Linked DNA regions of Rhinolophus ferrumequinum. The protein of the gene in region 1 interacts with the protein of each later gene in a pairwise test. Links are inferred from orthologs where the notes say so. Each region holds a gene or a part of one and is shown in the gene's direction. Other genes may lie near its edges.

Region 1 (9,822 bases):
CCAAAGACAGCACAGGCTTGGGGGCAGATGCCCATGGGATGCAGGGAAAATGGGGACTGTTTCTTCCATGGGAGAGAAATGGAGCTGCTGCTGCCAGTGGGAGGGCTGGCTAAGTGGTAATAGATAGCTTGCAGCCAGCATTTGCCACGTGCCTGGTACGGTTGTAAGTACTTGCTTTGGGGGTGGGGTAGGGAATGGCTTCCTAGTCAATTTCCATAAACAGTTGGCTCCTTGTGTGTATACTGTTGGGAATGTCCATCACATGATTAAACCCAAAGCAGTCCAATGATAACCAATGAATGCCAAGTCTACCCCCCGGCACACTTGATCTATTACTGTGGTCCTTGAGATGGGGGTTGGGGTTAGTTGAAAATGCATAGCTCTTAACCTCACACAGTGTTATGAGTGCTGTTCTCACAAGGACCCCTGGATGGCTGCACATTTTTTTCCGTGTCCTCCTCTTTCCCTCCCTGTAGGACCCTGCTGCAAGAGGACTATGGGTTCTTTCGCGCCATCAGCCTATGGCCCCCACTGGTGTTGATCGGTATCTATGCCACAGCGCTCTCAGCCTCCATGAGCTCCCTCATCGGTGCTTCCCGCATCCTTCACGCCCTGGCCCAGGACGACCTCTTTGGTACACTGTCCCCTGCCTCCGTGCCGGGCTCTGAGCGTGCCCTCCCGTGTCTCTCAGTCTCCGTTCAGACCCAACAGACCCAGGCTGATGGGTCTGTTGTATTTCTGTTTGCACAGGAGTGATCTTGGCACCAGCCAAGGTTGTGTCCCGAGGGGGTAACCCTTGGGGGGCCGTGCTCTATTCATGGGGCCTAGTACAGGTAAGCCTTCCTCTTTAAGCTGCCCTTCCCCTCACCCTAAGCCCCTCCTGATTACGCTCGCAGGATCAGGAGCGCTTAGGCTCTGGGTGAGAGATGTGAATGAAAGGCAGGATGCATTGGCATTTGGTGGGGGGTTGGCTCAATGTCCAGCCTCTTGGTCCTTGTCCAGCTGGTGCTTCTGGCTGGGAAGCTGAACACACTGGCTGCAGTGGTCACCGTCTTCTATTTGGTGGCCTATGCTGCGGTGGACCTGTCCTGCCTGAGCCTGGAGTGGGCCTCAGCCCCCAACTTCCGGTGAGAGAATAAGATGCCCATGTCCCCAGAAAAAGAGGGAGGAATGGGAGGAACTCAGACCAAGGTGGGGAGGCTGGGATTGGAGTGGGGTGGCCTAGTGTTCAGCCGGTCCTGAGTGTCCTTCCTTCTGTCTACCTACAGCCCCACCTTCAGTCTGTTCTCCTGGCACACCTGCTTGCTGGGGGTGGCCTCCTGCCTGCTCATGATGTTTCTCATCAGCCCCGGGGCTGCTGGCGGCTCCTTGCTGCTCATGGGCCTGCTTTCTGCCCTGCTCACTGCTCGAGGCGGCCCCAGCAGCTGGGGCTATGTCAGCCAGGCCTTGCTTTTCCACCAGGTCAGGGGAGCTTGGAGGAGGGTGGGAAGGGGAGGAGGCAGTCTGGGAAAACCTACCCTACAAGGAGGCCTCTTTTTCTCTTGGCTAGAGTTAGGGTTCCTGTCTGAGATGTGTTGAGTGGGGACTGCCCACTTAAGCCCTTCCTCCCCACCACCTTACCCTGTCCCCAGGTGCGTAAATACCTGCTCCGGCTGGACGTCCGGAAGGAGCACGTGAAGTTCTGGCGGCCCCAGCTGCTGCTGCTGGTGGGGAACCCCCGGGGTGCCCTGCCCCTGCTGAGGTTGGCCAACCAGCTCAAGAAGGGGGGCCTCTATGTGCTGGGTCATGTCACCCTGGGAGACCTTGGTGAGTTGCCCTCCATTCCTCCTTTCCCTGTCGGTCTCAGAAGCTCTTGGTGTTCTTTATGTCCCAGAGGATTCATGCTTCTTCCCAGATGAACCTTAAACAACCAGCACACAGTCCTCCCAGACCTTTTTCTTCTGCCCATTGGGGATTTGGACTCTAGGACAAAGTCCATGAGTTTGGCCCATATTTGCTGCTTTCCTTCTCTGCAGATTGCCTGCCCTCAGACCCTGTGCAGCCACAGTATGGGGCATGGCTGAGCCTCGTGGACCGGGCCCAAGTGAAAGCCTTCGTGGACCTCACCCTCTCACCCTCTGTGCGTCAGGGGGCTCAGCATCTGCTGCGGATCTCGGGTCTTGGTAAGCTGCTCCTCTCTGGGTCCCCTCTGCCTCCTTTGTGGCTCTTGTCAGTCTCTGCTATACCCGTGACCCCACCACCACCCAAGAGACTAGACCGCAGATTACAAACTCCAAACCCTCAGTTTAGTGCAGATAAGACATAGCACTCAAAGATAACAGTGTGTGGTCAGGTCTCGGAAGAGATGTTTAAGGACTAGAGATGGGGTGACACTTATTTTTTTCTGATCCAAAAATTGGGGCACAGATTCCAAAGAGTATGTTGTATTTCTGGGGATAATGGGAGAATTATTTGAGGCCAGGGGCCGCCCCATCAAATCTGTGACAGATGGTTTCTAACCACTCAAGTTCCGAGAAAGGAAGACCACTATGCACTGATATAGCCAGCAAAAGTATTGTGATGAGATGATCTTTCAGCTGGGCCTTGAAAGGGGCTGAGAAGTAGGGAGTGGTGTAACATGGCCCCCAGAGACCGCAGAGATGCAGAGGGTGTATGAGGCTGATGCTTTTGGGTGGAATGGAAGATGCCCAGCTTTGTGACTGTCTTAGTGCTGAGGCCTCCGGTCTTGCACCCCAGCTTCCTCCAAATCTTTGCTCAGCCACCTCCTTCTTTCTTAATCCCGGTACAGGTGTCTGCCCTCTCTCTGAGTGTATGCTTCCTTCTCCACTTAGAATCAGGGTAAAGATCAAGTGTTGGACATTGCCCTATTTGGTGTAAATGAGAACCCTGGAAAATGCTCAGGAGGGGGTGTGATTAGTTTAATTTGCAAGAACAGCTAGAGTTCCAAGGTGTTTTTGGATGTTGTCAAGCATTATGAGATAGACCCTGGAGCAGCTGAGGGCCTGGTCTCTCCACAGCCCCACATTTTGTGGGGAAACCTATGCCAAGAGACCACTACTTTCATGCAATTTATTCTGTGGAAAATGATTCAAATAAAAGGAAAGAGATTTCCTTTAAATAGTAAATTCTCCTGGTAACCCATTTGTTTCAAGAGAAAGGGTCTAAGGAGAGGTCTCAGAGTCTTCCTCCATAGTCTCCCCTCTTGAGGGGGTGGAGAAATTATCCAATTCCATATTGGTTGTTCAAAAACTTAAAAACCAGGAACTGTTGGCAGGGACTTGGGGCGTTGTGATTGGTACACATACAAACTCAGAGGCTCAGAGAATGGGCTGGAGTGCTGGGTACATTGTGTTCACCTGCCGCCCCAGTATTTACCATCCATGAGCCTTTGGGCAGGTGACTTCACTGCTCTGGGCCTCAGTTTCCTTATCTGTAAAAGGGAGTGAGTAAATAGTCCCTACCTCATGGTGTTGCTTCAAGGATCAGATGAGTTAAAACATGAAGTGCTTTCAATAGGACGTGGCCCCTGGTTAGTGTGCAGATAGATGTTAGCTGTCTGATCTCTGGGCGTCGTGCTTTGGACATGCCGTCATTAGGGAAAGAGATTGCACAGCCCCGGCCCTGAGTTCTCATCCTCCCCCAGCAAGGTCTGGGTGCTGTTTCCCTGGATATTGAGGCCATGAGCTTGACTAATTAGGGGGTCTGGTCTACCCAGTGGAGTCAGACTCCCATCATGAAAAAGATGTGCTGCTAGAAGCTTGGATTGAAGGCATCCTACTGCCACCAAAAGTGCTCATTAGTTAAAAGAATCTTAAGGTGAACTTGCTTTGCCTATTTAAACAGGGAAGATTAGTCATGGAGATAAGTCAAATAAATGCATGCAAATGTGGGAAAACTAAAAGTCATCATGCAAACATGCATAATGTTGTCCTAAGAGCCCAAGCACAGTGGAATGAATGTCATATCCAATGTTGCCATCAGTGTGTACGAGTGGATGTGTATCGCATGGTGAAAACTCAGCTGGTGAGTCTGATTCCTGTCGGTTCCTTCCCACCTCCCCTTCTCTGTCCCCAGGTGGCATGAAGCCGAACACGTTGGTCCTGGGTTTCTACGATGATGCTGCACCTCAGGACCACTTCCTGACAGACCCGGCTTTCTCTGAGCCTGCTGATGGCACCCAGGAGGGTGGGTCCCCAGCCCTGAGCACCCTGTTCCCTCCACCCCGGGCTCCTGGGAGTCCCCGGGCTCTCAGTCCCCAGGACTACGTGGCCACGGTAGCGGACGCCCTCAAGATGAACAAGAACGTGGTTCTGGCGAGAGCCTGTGGGGCCCTGCCCCCTGAGCGGCTAAGCCGGGCGTCTGGGGGCACCTCTCAGCCCCATCACGTGGATGTGTGGCCCCTCAACCTTCTGCGGCCCCGGGGTGGGCCTGGCTATGTGGACGTCTGCGGTCTCTTCCTGCTGCAGATGGCAACCATCTTGGGCATGGTGCCTGCTTGGCACAGTGCCAGGCTACGGATCTTCTTGTGCCTGGGGCCTCGAGAGGCCCCAGGGGCGGCCGAGGGGCGACTCCGAGCCCTGCTGAGCCAGTTGAGGATCCGGGCTGAGGTGCAGGAGGTGGTGTGGGGCGATGGGGCTGGTTCCGGAGAGCCTGAGGAGGAGGAGGAAGGGGACTTTGTGAACGGCAGGCGAGGAGACGCTGAGGCAGAGGCCCTGGCATGCAGCGCCAACGCCCTGGTTCGGGCCCAGCAGGGGCGAGGCAGAGGAGGAGTGCCTGGGGGGCCTGAGAGTGGGGATGGCAGGGAGGGGCCCACCACTGCCCTCACCTTCCTATACCTGCCTCGGCCACCTGCTGATCCTGCGCGCTACCCTCGCTACCTGGCACTTCTGGAGATTCTGAGCCGAGATCTGGGTCCCACACTGCTCATTCATGGTGTCACCCCTGTCACTTGCACTGATCTCTGATGCTCCATTCCTGAAGTGGAGTGTCCAGGTCTGGTGGCCCACTTTGATTAGTGGATGAGGAGGGGAAGGGCCACCTTGGGCCTGCCCTGCATGTGGGACACAGAGCCAGGTAGAGGTATTAGGGGATCCTGGGCTGGGGCATCTCTCTGTCTTTGGGAGAGGGGTCCTGGTGCACTAATGCTGGGAAGCTATCCCTGCCACAAAGGAGAGGGAGTCAGCCCTGCCCCCTCCCTCCCTTAATTGGTGCCTTCATGGGGGCTGGGTCTCCGCTTGTGAGTCTAGGCTACCTCAGTCTCCCTTTGCCCAACAGACTCACTGACCAGTGAGGTTGTGACGTTTTTGTTGTTTTATTTTTCTAACTGCTGAATGTCAATAAACGACCAAAACACTACTGCTGGCTGAACACTACTGATGGGATAGGTGGGACTGGAAAAGGGAGACATCTGTATAAGGGGAACCTGGGAAAGAGGAGCACTGGAATGTCCCAGAGGCGAGGTGGCCACGTGCAGGACTTGGGGAGCGGACCTGGGGGGACTCGTGGAAATGGAAGCTGCCCACGGCCCCTCAGACGGGCTCCCGTGGAAAGCCCTCCTTGTTGGGCAGGAGGGGGCCGACTCCGGGGAAGAACGCGGTTTAGGGCCTAGGGGGCCACGTGACCCTCCCCCAGGAATGCGGTGACGTCACGGGGGCGTGGCCGTCCCCCAAATTAGGGAGGAAGGGGAAAAAAAGCCAGAAAAAGTTTCTTTCCTGGAGTCCCAAACGAGGTGAGCGACCGAAGAAAGGGTCAAGTCCAGAGGCTTCGGGCTCCGTGGGACCCTGAACGCGCTGTCTGGAGACGCCCATTCTAGGCCATGTCGGGGCCCACCTGGCTCCCCCCGAAGCAGCCAGAGCCCGCCAGAGCCTCTCTGGGGCGAGCTCTCCCCCGAGGCGCCCTGGGGCCGCCGCCAGCTCACGGAGCAGGTAAGGCAACCCCTGTGCGATGGAGGAAGCCACCCGCCAGCGGGCCCCTGCCTCCCGCCGAGCTTTCCCCTGCCGCCCCTTCCCCGAAGCCAGGCTGGAAATCAGCTGCCCCTGCCCTTTCTCGGCCCTCCCTGCCTCCTGCCACATTCTCAGACCCCAGGATCTGGGGGGAAGGGGAGAAAAGGACCTGAGAGGGTCCTCCACAAGTGTCACCCTTGTCTCCTTCCCCATCCCCACCTTCACTCTCTTCCCTCACCCCAGCACTTCAGCCCCACCCCAGGGTCAATTTTTGCCCCCTCCCATCTGAGCAGTGTTACCAGGTCCCTGGGGGGCCCGAGGATCTGGGGCCAGCCTGGGTGGGTTGCCATGGAACACCCCAGCGTTCGCAGGTGAGAACTGGGATTGGGGGGTTGGGGGGCATTCAGGGCGGGAGAGGAGGCCATGTGATTTGCATTCTCCCTGCTTTTGCTCTATCCCTAGGGCCCCCCCCCAGACAGGGGGGGCCAGCGCCCAGGAAGTCTGGATGCTGAGATAGATTCTCTGACTAGCATGCTGGCTGAGCTGGATGGGGGTCGTGGTCATGCTCCTCGGAGGCCTGACCGGCAGGTGACCCCCCTGTCCTGCCCCTGCCCCCCTTTTCTTAGCCCTGTCCCTTCTCTGTCCACTCAGCCTACTCCCACTTCACCTCCCCCTCTGTGTAAGTGATGCCACACACCAGCATGGAAGGAGCTGGGCCACCAGAACTTCTGGGTTGTCAGCTTCTCCAGGGTGGGCCTTTGTCAGAAACCAGCCCTTACCTGGTGGCCACACACATGGGGTGGGGCTGGGGTGTTCACAGGTGTGTGTCCTGTAATGGGCCACCTCACTCCTTTTCCTCTGCATTTCTCCCCAGGCTTACGAGCCCCCTCAGCCCCCTGCCTACCGCCCTGGCTTGGGCTCCCTGAAGTCAAATGGAGGTGGTGTTCCTCCCCCACTGCTCCCAGTGTCCCCCTATGGGGGCCCCACTCCAGCCTCCTATGCTACAGCCAGCACTCCCGCTGGCCCTGCCTTCCCTGTGCAAGTGAAGGTGGCACAACCAGTGAGAGGCTGTGGCCCCCCCAGGCGGGGGGCCTCTCAGGCCTCTGGGCCCCTTCTGGGCCCCCACTTTCCTCTCCCAGGCCGAAGTGAAGTCTGGGGGGCTGGCTATAGGAGCCACCGAGAGCCAGGGCCCGGGGGTAAAGAGGAGGCTGCTGGGGTCTCCATCCCTGCAGGAGGAGGAAGAGGAGGCAGGTATGGGCCCCAGGTAAGCCCCAGGCACTGAGATTTGGGGTCCTCACAGACAATTGGACACTGATTGGGTGGGATGGGAGTGATATTTAAGGCCTGGTTGTCAGATGTCTGGGGTGCCAGAGCTCTGGACCCCTCTGGGGATGTGGGGCAGGTCAGGAAAAGTAGGAGGTAGGGGGCTGGAGTGGCACACTAGCTCGAGACATGTCCCTGGGCCCTGGGATGACATGTTCTTCAGCGAGAGCTTTTTTGGGTGGAATTGCCTGGTCACCCTCAGGTGTTTTGACAGCATCGAGAGCTAGAGGTAGGGCTGAACCTCTGATTCTCATCTCCCAGGTCTCCCTGAGCCAGCCTCCCGAGGAGGAGCTCGAGAGGCTGACCAAGAAGCTGGTGCACGACATGAGCCACCCGCCCAGTGGGGAGTACTTTGGTGAGCTAAGTCTGAGGGTGGGTGGAAAGGGTGGGGGGCTGGAGAGACAGAGGGATAGCAGACCTGGCTTCCTGGCCTATGCAGGTTGACCCTGTCCCTCCCTGTCCCCAGGCCGGTGTGGTGGCTGCGGAGAAGATGTGGTTGGGGATGGGGCCGGGGTTGTGGCCCTGGACCGCATCTTTCATGTTAGCTGCTTTGTGTGTTCTACGTGCCAGGCCCAGCTTCGGGGCCAACATTTCTATGCCGTGGAGAGGAGGGCATATTGTGAGAGCTGCTATGTGGTGAGTGGGTGGGGCTGGAGGCTGGAATCAGCAGAGGAGGCAAGGGGCTTCCATCTAAGGTGGGAAAGATGTCCAAATCCCAAAGAGGAAGAGCGCTCAAAGTTGGGGGACTAAAACAAGAAGGGAGGAATTAGGTAGCTAAACACCGGCTGCTGGGGGAAGGACAACAGCCCCTTACAAATGTGAGGCTTTTAGTTTGGAGTTAAAAGAGTGTTAAATTCCCACAACATGCTGTGAGGCAGATATTACTACTGAAGGAAATTGAAGCTCAGAGAAGTCAAATAACTTGTTCAGGAAGCTGCAGTGCTGGAATTTGCACTCAGATCTGCACAAGGCCACCTTTCACTAAATCATATGCAGGGGGCTCCATAAACAGATGGGTGGGGTGGCAGGATGCCTGTAGGGCTGCTGTGGGCCTCCCCAGCCCCCGACCTTTCTGACCTCCTTCCCAACAGGCCACCTTGGAGAAGTGCTCCACATGTTCTCAGCCTATCCTGGACCGGATCCTGCGGGCTATGGGGAAGGCCTATCACCCTGGCTGCTTCACTTGTGTGGTGTGCCATCGTGGCCTCGATGGCATCCCTTTCACGGTGGATGCCACCAGCCAGATCCACTGCATTGAGGACTTCCACAGGTCAGGCTGGGTCCCCCACCTTTGGCTCAGGATGTCTGGCCTTTCCTGTCTTCCTCATTTCTTCTTCCTGTCCCAGTACCAGCCTCTCCTGTTTCTCACCCTTGCCATGCCTTGTTCTCGTTAACATCACTCTTCCCCCAAATCCAAGACCATACCTCTGGGCTCTTCTGTTCCCTTCCGCATCTCATCTTCTCTGGGCTCTACCGTCAGTCCCCTCCACACCTGGGGCTTGACACCCTCCTTGGTTCCCTTCTACACCAGGAAGTTCGCTCCACGATGCTCAGTGTGTGGTGGGGCCATCATGCCTGAGCCAGGTCAGGAGGAGACCGTGCGAATTGTTGCTCTGGATCGCAGTTTTCACATCGGCTGTTACAAGTGCGAGGTCAGGGGGTCTGGGCAAGGGGTTATTGGGGTTATTGGGGTCTGGGGATATTGGGTATGGTAGAAACCAGGGGTTTGGGCCTGATGGAAAGCTGTTGCTTTTTTCCTAATAGGAGTGTGGGCTGCTGCTCTCCTCTGAGGGTGAGTGTCAGGGCTGTTATCCGCTGGATGGGCACATCTTGTGCAAGGCCTGTAGCGCCTGGCGCATCCAGGAGCTCTCAGCCACCGTCACCACTGACTGCTGAGTCTTCCCAGAAGCAACTGCTGCGTTCTTCCTTCTCATCGACCACCTTCCCTGACATCTACCTTTACAACTTTGTCACTAAATGCTGTTTTCTCTTCCTCTAATCATGAAATAATAATCTCCCAAGAGTTTACAAAACACTTTTGAGTCTATTATTGTCTCATCTGATTCTCACAGCAGTCAACACAAGCATACCTGTTGTGACTGTATTTTTAACTGAGAAGTGACTTCCCCAGATTGCATGGTTCCCAAGTGGCAGAACCTGGGTCTTCTTAGCCCTGGTCCAATTATTTGCAACTCTAGTACAGTTGGTTCTCTATCCTGGGTTCAATCAATCGAGGATAGAAAATACTCAGGAAAAAAGTTACATCTGTCTTACGTGTACTGTGTAGTTAGGCCTACCATGGTTGCACTTGGTACTGAACATGGTACAGATTTTTTTCCTTGTCATTATTCCCTAAACAGTACAGTATAGCACTTACGTTGTATTAGGTATTTATTATAAGTAACACAGAGATGATTTGAAGCATACAGGATATACGTATATAAATATGTACGTATATAAATACTACACCATTTATATGTGATTTGGGCATCCACGGATTTGGTATCCCCAGGCATCCTGGAACCAAATCCCTGCAGAGACCAAGGAATGACTGTAT
Region 2 (9,902 bases), on another chromosome or scaffold:
TAAAAAAATTCTTGTTCTTTGTTTTAATTTAGAATGTTAACAACATACGTCACTGTTGGTGAAACAAAAATGCATGCTCTTCTAACCAAACACCCTTATTTATCAACCAAGTGAAGGGTATCTGGGCCAGCCTAAATGGCTGCTGGGATTTTACAGATGCAAAATTGAAAGGACAGGATGGAGCAAGAACAACCCCGACTTATGAGACTTATGATGTGTTTGTTTGACTTCCCCTATCAACAATGTCATTCTTCTAAAACCCTTCTCATGGTGAGCATAAAACAAAATGGATGTACTGTTCCAGGAGTTTCCCTGACCTATTTTATAAAAATAGTCATCATTTTCACTCTCTGCCACATTTCAGAGATGACAACCCAGTTGACTCAGTAAGTGGTGGCCTCCGGTGCAAAGATATGGTTGCAGGTGCCATCAGAAGGGACTACAAATCGCCTTCTTTTTCTCCTATTGGTGAAACTCTGCTGTAAGCCACTCACATTCCATCACCCAAGTTTCCGTTAGGTTGGTGATAGGGAGCCAGGAATGGAAACTCAGTTTCTTCAAAGGAATCTGACTAGCCCAGGTTGTAGTCCTCAGTTGATGCAAAGATTGAGTCATGAGGGGCGGCTGGATGGCTCAGTCAGTTAGAGCGCGAGCTCTGAACAGCAGGGTTCCCAGTTCGATTCCCACATGAGCCAGTGAGCTGTGCCCTCCACAATTAGATTGAAGACGAGCTGCTGCTGAGATTCCGGAAAGGGTGGCCGGATGGCTCAGTTGGTTAGAGCACGAGCTCTCAACAACAAGGTTGCCGGCTGCACCAGTGCCCCTGCAACTAAAGATTGAAAACAGCAACTGGACTTGGAGCTGAGCTGCACCCTCCACAACTAGATTGAAGGACAACGATTTGGAGATGATAGGCCCTGGAGGAACACACTGTTCCCCAACATTCCCCAATAATATTTTTAAAAATTATTCATAAAAAAAAAGATTGAGTCATGATAGGAAACTGCTTATAGCTCTAAGGCACATGGAGACAAATCAGAGAGATGCCAGGCAGCTAACATTGGATACATACTGTGATTTGTGTGATTTAAGTATTTTTAAAGGATGTCTCATCCTGAAGTAAGTTTGTTTTGACATAGTGTTTTCACCTCACCTTGTCAAATTATGAATATATTGTTCCTTTAAAAAAAATCTCATAAACATGTTTATTTAACTCTTGTTTTTAAACATGTTGTTGAGAAACCATTTTAAAAGTAGATTTGTGTTTATATCTGAAAAATGAGTAATGTAAACATGTTGTTTGTTTTGGGGAGGAAGTCTGGAAGAACTGATGAGGATCTAGTCTCAGGCTCCTAGCTGCAGTCATCCTCAATCCCCCCTAAGACTTTTAGCAAAAAGCCTGAGCATCCACCCCATCACCGAACCTGGAGCATAAAGCACCAGTCTCCCTGAACTTCTACTGGGAAAGCTGAATCAAGTTTTCTGCAGACCAAGACCCCAAATCTTTGAGGGCACTCCAACTTCTTTGTGCAGAAATGGGGAAGAAAATCCTGCAGGTGGAGGTCACTGATGGGCATCAGCCCTAGGCAGCAGCAGCAGCCTGGCACAGACACACTGACTGTTCCTGTCAAGTTGGTGTGTGTGTGTCCCTATTTCTCTACTTCACACATTCACTTGCTCCCTGCTCAGCTAAGTAACAGAAATAAATGTTGCATTAATCAAGTGTGTGTGTGTCATATTTTCTCTCCATATTGCCTACACTTTGAAATCCTGAACCTAAAGGTTTTACACTTAACCTTGAGTTTTTACTCAAAATAAAACACATATCCTTTCTTCTTGTAGTTCTTGGCATGCTGAATCTGTGAAAGCCTGTGCAAAACTTGAAGGAACTGTCCTTTGAACCTATCTGAGGAAGTAGAGCTGGAGAAGTGGATCTGTGTGGCTCTAGAGAAGCTATGAAAATGCACTCCTCAGACCTCATGGGAATCATAATTGACCAATGGCCCCAACAGCCACACTCTGAATCTGCTATGCTTCCCATGGGCCACTCTCAAACAAAGACTTAGTGCAGCAGTGATACTACTAAGTCAGGCCCATTTCTACAAGATGCAAGACTCCTCTGATGGTTACCTTGGGCTCAAAGAGTCTCCATAAGGCTGGCTGAAACATTTCTAGAACTGTTCCTACCAATCCATTTGCTTTCCCTCCCTCATTACAGTCTGACTCTTCCTGCCTCTTTTGGCTTCCTCTCCCTTATCCCCTCACAGGTATTTCTCCCAATAAATCTCTTACAAATCTAATCCCACCTTTAATGTCTGCTTCGCTGAGAACCTACACTAACACAGACATGTCCACAAAACAGATTAAAAATGTAAGCCATGATTTCAAAATAAGCTAAGAAAATAATCCAAGACATGAAAGAATAATATGCACCAAAATTTTAAAAAATTCAGGAAAAAAAATGTGACACAGGAAAAGTTACAAATAAAAATCATTTAAAAGATAAAGACTGATCTAGAAGCAATTGAACACAACAAATGATGGCTTAAGAGAATTGAAGATTTTAAAAAACAGCAAAAAGAAAGAGATTTTTTTTAAAGGTACTATTTAGGACCTTTATGGCAGAATTTCTTTAATTTCCCAATAAACTTATTCCAGTTGCTTCACACCTTCATTGTTAAGGGTTTCTCTAAATCTAATTATTAGCTACCTCCCTTTTTCATAAACCCAGTGGAGAAGACCAGTTGATCATTATCCATCTCTAACCAAATTATCCAAACCTTCCTTAGAGAATCTTTTTTATTTTCCTTTGCTTAACTTGGAGATCGGGCATTTCTCTTTAATACTGTCCAGTTTCTCCCCATTGACATCTGTGCTGCTTGTTTCTTTGTTTGTTTTGTTTGTTTTGTTTTGTTTTAATGCAAAGCCAATAATTGGAAATACTACCCAGGTCAAAGTATGACCAGTGTTGATATGCAGAATTCATGGATGAGGAATGAAATGGGTTCATCTGTGCTGTAGGGGATTGTGACCTGGTCAAATAACTAGACTTGGATCCTCAACCTAGTCTATCCTAGGCTTTTCCCAGCATGAAAACAAAGAGTGGTCACTTAATCAACATCATCAACAAATATTTATTAAGTGCTTTCAATGTACAAAGAATCATGTTCACTGTTTTAGATGTTTTATGGACATCCTCGATTCATGGGGAGAGTGGTATGGAAGTTTTGCTTTGTTTTGTTTTTATGAACAATACTTTGGATTAAGAACAAAGACATAAATTTAGGTCTAAGTCAGCTTTTGAGATGTATCACTGAAGGAAGGGAACAATTTCAATTAGACCAGTGTCAGAATGAAGGAAGCCACATCTATGTTGGCAGTTAGATTAAAAACAACAACAACAACAACAACAAAACACCAGGAGGGATATTTAGAGGCACCACCAAGTCCTCCTGCTCTTTACTTCTTAGTCACCAGTGCTCAATCTTACTTGGCCCCAAGTAGCCCCAGTTTCAAGCCCATCTTGGAAATAAGACATGAATTCATAATAAAAATTAAAATATGATTATGTTCCTTCAAGCTCCCAAAATACATGTGATAATACGTATGATAATATCATAAACATTGAATGTTTACTTTGGCCAAACACTATCTCATTAAGTCCTCACTCCAACAACCCTGTGAGGTAGCAACTATTATCTTGCTGCTCTAGAACTCAAATCCAGACTGCTGGATTCCAGATGCCAAGTATCTTAACCCTATGTTCTGCTACCTCCCTATGACAAAAAATTAACATAGCCAATCTTATGTTCCAGCTAACCTGCAGTGACAGGAATATTTTATTTTGCTAATACTAGCAGTCCTCCATATCCATGGGTTCCATATCTGTGGGTTCAACCAACCAGGAATCAAAAATATTTTTAAAAACAACAACAAAAAAAAACCCCAGAAACTTAATCCCTAAACAATACGGTATAGTAAATATTTACATAGCATTTACATTGTATGAGCTATTATGAGTAATCTAGAGATAATTTAAAGTATAAGGGAGAATGTGCCTAGGTTATGGGCAAATACTATACCATTTTTATATAAGGGATTTGAACATGGAAAGATTTTGGTATCCACGGTGTGGGGACAGAGTCCCAGAGAGCAGCAGTTTCCAGGCTGTCCGCCTTGTGTGGGGAGGTGATGGCTCTGATAGTGAATGACCATCAACTGTGATTGGTTGGCCATCAGCTGTAACCGGTTGGCCAATTAGCTACTGATGTAACTGCAGGGCTGCATTGATTGGTTGGTTGGTTGGCAGGCAGGGAAGTGAATGGTGGACTGCAGATCATGTGGCTACTACTGCATGTGTCTCGCCCAGCTGCCAGAGAGAATATAGTCGTATGACTCCCCTACCTATGGCTCCGTGGATGTTCCTTTTTGGCCTAGCTACATCCTGCGTTCTTATGTGGGGAACGGGAGCAGAGACCCCGCAGGCTGCCCCACAGGACACATGGCACAGCGAGCAGGATCTCCCGCATGACACATGGAGTCCTGGAATCAATTCCCGGTAGATACTGTGGGATGACTGTACTTGAGGCAATAACTTAAAGTAAAAGCAATGTGTCACAGAGATGAGGCTGTGTGGCAGTGTGAATCAAAGTGGGGCGGGGGGAGAAAGAAGGTGGTGAACTTGAAAGGGAGAGCAGTGAGTGGGGAATTTACAACAGCTGTCCTAAGCAACCCTCAAGTCTTCTTCCAGAGCATTTGGATTATACAGCAAAGGCCTCCTATATTAGAATCAAGCTTAATAACCTAAACGCAAACCAGATATTTAACTCTGCAAGTGATATAGTTACCCATATTTTATTCCATACTTAACATACTTGGACTCTTGCAGCTACAGCAAAGGCCATAGGTTTGTTTACCCATCCAGTCACCAGATTAAGATACACCATAGCTGACTAACGTGTTTGCTATAGGAATCGAGTGAGTTCATTCTAATTCTACATGTTAATTTAACACTTCATAACATTTAGCATATTGTTAATTTGCTAACTTACATTCAAAATACCAACAATATGTGGTAGGGCATATGTTTAAAACTGAAGCTGACTTAAGACTGCCTAGGTTTGAGTCTAGTTTTCATATAAGCTTTGTGATCTTGGGCGTGGTATTTAACCATTTGAAGACAGCTTTCTTCAGCTGCAAAATGGAGTTAACAACGATCTATTTCAGAAGACTGGGGACTAAATGAGGTGAAATGAGGGGACTAAATGAGGGGATTGATATTACTTGAAAGTGTGTTAGCTATTTATCTATGAAGACCAGTTTAATATGAAGAGAAACTAAAATATAAAAAGCATTAAATCTATTAATTTCCGTTCTTTTCCGTCGCCTAAATCTGGCTTTTATCTCTTCTTTCTGTTACTGCATTTTCCCCCTTTTCAAACGGAGAAGAGAACCCACTACTTCAGAGTTCTCCAGAAAGAAAGAAAATCAAGGGAACGCAGGCAGTTAACACATCCAGAAAACAGCCTGCCAGTCTACAGTGCGTTCCTAAAGACCCAGGGTAGGGCACGCCACCACCCCCTATCACCCCGCGCCCCTGAATTTTCGGATGCGGAGACCAGTCCCAAAGAAGCCTTGAGGCCACCTCGCTTCCGGCGGGTTCCTGTAGCAGCGACGTCCAAGTCCCACCCACGCACTCTTACACTTCAAGGTGATTTACATATCGATTGTTTATTGGCCACTCGCATGCACTCGCTCTCCTCATTGGCTGATACTGTCCCATGCCGTCATTCCGGGGAGGATGTCCGCCTGGGCGAGTGAGACTGAGGGTCACAGATATCTACATTTCCGTTTCCGGTTCGCCTCCGGCGCCATGGCGACCAGGAGCGGCCCGAGGTGTCTTTTCACATTAGGCAGATGGCGTCGTGGTCTTGGTGTAGCTCCGCAGTCCCGGGTGAGTGCCTATTGTCACTGCTTTGGGAGAGACTGGAGCTCTGACACGGGTCTGCTCCGAGGAGCGCTCCCGGCAGCCCCTCCCTTAGCGAGCGCCCGCAACCTTCTCTTCCTGCCCGGCAATCAGCTTTTCTTTTCCGGCTTGCAGGCTCTCGCTGCCCTTGTGCCCGGCATATCCCAGGTGGATAACAAGTCCGATTTTCTGGGGAAGAGGCCCCATCGCCGGCACCCCGGCATCCGGCAGCTGCCGCGGGTGCGGCTGCCTCAAGCACTGGCTGACACCGCGCAGTTACTGTTGCTCGGTGAGTAACGGTAGGAAAGGGAGGCTCGAGAGCAAGCGGAGACTGGGCCTTCATGCAACTGATGCCGCTTTTCATCTTTGGCCCATAGAGAATCCAATACCCAATGTGGAGAAGCAGGTGCAAGCACTGACCAATTATCTCTGGAGCCGGCATGTACCCGTAGAGCCAGAGGAATTGCAAAGGCGGGCTATGCATCTTGAGAAGAAAATCCTGGAAAACCTAGGTAGGGTTTAAGAATAACTAAAAAGTAGGTCACATTGAAATAACAATGGGAAATGAAGAGCCAGAAATAATTTTAGTCTCTCAAATAGATACTACAGTTTCTTATTTGACTTTCTGGGCGGTTATTACAATGATGCCTTACTAAGAGGAGCTAGATTATTCCAAAGATTGCCCTCCCGGCTTTGGTGAAGGTCAGTGAGGGCTTTAATATCCTGTTGAAATCTAGGTCTTTGTTTTTTTTCCTAACAAATCCACTGGATTAGGACTAAGTTTTTATTCAACTGAAATAAAGCCCCTGTATGGCTCCCTGTCCAGTGCCAAACCCCTCTTGAGGGACAGGAGAATAAGTATAATTTGTCAAGTTATTATTTTCATGATTGTGAGCTCCTTCATATTACAGACCCGGCTTGTTATTCATCTTGTAGTCCCTGTATTACCCACAGTACCTGGCTTATAGTAGGCACTCTATAAAATAGGACTGAACTGAACGCTATCATGAGACTTAAAGTTCCTTTCCTCCGTGTAGGAACATTAGAGACGCACAATCTTAAGTTTTGGGGAAGTGAGGAAATGTACAAAATACTGTCCTTATCCTATTTTGTACATCTTTACCACGCTTCCCTTTAGTATAGAACAAAACCCGTGGGATGGGGTGAATTGAGTTGAATAATCTGCTGTTAGAGGCAAATTACTGTCTGATACACTCTAGTGGTAGTGGTGGAGGTCATTGTTATTCTCACCAGGTTTGGCTTCCTTAAGCTTTGAGGCTTTTCCCGGGTAGGAGTTGGGGCGGAATGGGCAGGCAATAAATTCAAATATTGGATCTGAGCCCTGTTCATCCTAGGTCCTCACTTCCAGTGCTTGTTCTCACCCCAGACTCATCTCAGACAGAGGAGAAACTTCGTGGAGCAGTGCTGCGTGCGCTGCGTAAAACTACCTACCATTGGCAAGAACTGAGGTAAGAGGGACTAGAAGGGTTACAGAGGAAAGAAAAGTTTGACTTTTCAAGGAGAATTGGAGAAGTACAATTACACAATTTTGTGTTTGAAAAAGCTACCTGGTTTCTAAGGCTCCCCAGGACTTTTCCTGTGTTGTAGTGTGAAAGTGATAACATGGAAGAACCCTTTCCAGAGATTTCATTTCCTAAAAAATCTAGAAGCAGCTATGGAATAGAGATTATTTCCCAGTGGACATGACTCTCTGATTTTTCTGGCAGCTACAATGAGGGACTGAGCCTGGTGTATATGGCAGCAAGACTGGATGGTGGCTTTGCAGCAGTCTCCAGGGCATTCCATGAGGTGAAAGCCCCTCAGCTTCCAACCTGAACCCTTTTACCATCGGTTCCCTTATAAAGTAGTCTTCTGGGGTAGGATTCTTGGGACATTGCATGTGCATTTTTTTAAGGGGCTCTCTTTATCCTCTGAAAGGATTTTGTGACCTAAGAAAGGTTTAGAGTCACTGTTTTAGGAGCTTCCTATTCTATAAAGTATTTAAATTGAATCTCAAAAGACATTCACATCTCCTCTGTCCTGGTCTCCTAATCATATTTACCACGGCCCTAAATAAGAGTCTGCTTACCCTACTGTGGGGTGTTGTATATTTCTTCAGATCCAGACTCAAATTCCAGAGTTCCAACCACAAACCTTGATGGACTTTGGATCGGGTACTGGGTCTGTCACCTGGTGAGTATCTTTCTCTTTATACATTCTAGTTTTAGAGAGCCATGCTTACACCACTCCAACATCAAGAGACTGGGGAATCAAGAATAGGAAAGTTGGGAACTAAAATGTTTCTTCCCTCAGGTTAGGCAAGGCATGAGAAGGTTTATAAATTAAGGCCAAAACTTAAATGTCAGGTGAAAAAGGACCGTGTATAGAAAGATAAAAAAGGAAAGGAATTTAGGGCATAAGTTTTGTATATCATCAAAATTTTTGTCTACAAGTAGTGTTTGAGTCTGCCTTTTTTTTTCTTTAAGGAGTTGTAAATGAAATAAGAAAATAACATTGTTAGTTTTTCCAACTATTTTAATATAACACTTTGTTTCCCCAGGGTGGGGTTGGTGGTAGAGGGATTTCTTGTAAGAATGACTTTTTGTCATGAGAACTGCTGATTTATATTTTGCCATCTTAGGGCTGCTCATAGTATTTGGGGCCAGAGCATACGTGAATATATGTGTGTGGACAGTTCGGCTGCCATGTTGGATCTGGCAGAAAAGCTACTGAAAGGTGAGCTATAAGGAAGGACTTTCCAAAGTTGAAGGAGTTAATAAAGCAAAGTAATACTAGAAATAACTTTATATTCAGGAGTAAAGGAGTGGGCTAAAAGTTAAGATGAGTGTGGTCTCCTTCCAATATTATGGTCAAGCAGAGGGTGGTGGAGGCCTTTGCTGGACTATGGATGGGTTGGGTAAAATTAACAGGACAGGTGACCTAATATTCTTCCTGTCCTTTTTAATGTTTGTTTACCCCATTGCGTCTCACTCTCGCCTAGCATTTTCCTTTATTGTCGGGGCCATGTTTCTCATCAGGATATCACCTCAGTTTATACCTATACACTCATAGTTGCCACACCTCTCCTTTCCTCCACAGGTGGTTCAGAATCTGGAGAACCTTATGTTCCAAGTGTCTTTTTCAGACAGTTTCTACCTGTATCACCCAAGGCAAGTGGCAATGTGTAGAGTATGCCAGCTAAATGCGGAATTTGGCAGATGGAAAAGTGTGTCCTCGGCTTTGCAACCCAGCAGTGAGTGTCAGAAGAGAAAAGGCAGCAGAAGAAATCTAGGGAGCTAGACTGTCATGCTCTTGGCAGGGGAGATGTCGAGCCTGTCGTGTCCCTGTCTTGGTCCTCAGGTACAATTCAATGTGGTGGTCTCAGCCTTTTCCCTGAGTGAACTGCCCAGCAAGGCTGAGCGCGCTGAGGTCGTTCAAACCCTGTGGCGCAAGACAAGTAATTTTCTGGTGAGCTGAAACCCCTTTTCCCTTCAAGTTTTAAAGTAGCTTCATGGTTTTCATGCCTTTCCTTCTGTCCATTGGAGCTTGTCTTCGTTCTTTTCTCCTGCACAGAATCCTTTGTCCCTCTTTTACGGTCTCCATCCTCATCTTGTATATAATACCATTTCGTTTAGGACCACTATTCCATCTGTGAATGTTCTTACAGAGCTACATTGATGTTTTCATGTAGTTCAGGGCCTCTGCTCAGTTTCCCCTTTTGTGAACAGATACTGGTGGAGAATGGAACAAAAGCTGGGCACTGCCTGCTCATGGAAGCCAGGGACCTCGTCCTTAAGGTAAGGTTCTTTCCCTTCTCCGCCCACCTCCCCACTTATCTGTCACCAACTACTGGTACTCCTTTGAAAACTGAAGAGACTCTGTCATACAATGGTAAGGGTGACTCAGGGTAGTAGGCCTATGAAGTCATTAGGCTATA

What was found. The genes of interacting proteins can lie anywhere in the genome.
Region 2: the proteins of TRIP6 (region 1) and METTL17 interact in binary tests that used the Homo sapiens proteins (3 or more experiments, as listed by UniProt). The link is inferred for Rhinolophus ferrumequinum from reciprocal best matches to the Homo sapiens genes TRIP6 and METTL17.

Annotation. Positions count from the first base shown.
Region 1 is NC_046290.1:91,071,024-91,080,845, forward strand, and holds TRIP6 (thyroid receptor-interacting protein 6), read left to right. Parts: upstream 1-5,490; 5' UTR 5,491-5,815; coding exon 5,816-5,924; intron 5,925-6,185; coding exon 6,186-6,313; intron 6,314-6,404; coding exon 6,405-6,530; intron 6,531-6,816; coding exon 6,817-7,206; intron 7,207-7,526; coding exon 7,527-7,620; intron 7,621-7,731; coding exon 7,732-7,901; intron 7,902-8,356; coding exon 8,357-8,535; intron 8,536-8,796; coding exon 8,797-8,917; intron 8,918-9,029; coding exon 9,030-9,161; 3' UTR 9,162-9,300; downstream 9,301-9,822. Other genes in the region: SLC12A9 (solute carrier family 12 member 9), read left to right, coding at 477-634, 751-833, 1,003-1,127, 1,269-1,461, 1,632-1,806, 2,016-2,162, 4,075-4,964. UniProt on the Homo sapiens protein: Relays signals from the cell surface to the nucleus to weaken adherens junction and promote actin cytoskeleton reorganization and cell invasiveness. Involved in lysophosphatidic acid-induced cell adhesion and migration.
Region 2 is NC_046289.1:71,893,822-71,903,723, forward strand, and holds the start of METTL17 (methyltransferase-like protein 17, mitochondrial), read left to right. Parts: upstream 1-5,800; coding exon 5,801-5,953; intron 5,954-6,100; coding exon 6,101-6,254; intron 6,255-6,342; coding exon 6,343-6,477; intron 6,478-7,352; coding exon 7,353-7,434; intron 7,435-7,692; coding exon 7,693-7,774; intron 7,775-8,084; coding exon 8,085-8,158; intron 8,159-8,606; coding exon 8,607-8,701; intron 8,702-9,064; coding exon 9,065-9,135; intron 9,136-9,325; coding exon 9,326-9,433; intron 9,434-9,693; coding exon 9,694-9,762; intron 9,763-9,902. UniProt on the Homo sapiens protein: Mitochondrial ribosome (mitoribosome) assembly factor. Binds at the interface of the head and body domains of the mitochondrial small ribosomal subunit (mt-SSU), occluding the mRNA channel and preventing compaction of the head domain towards the body.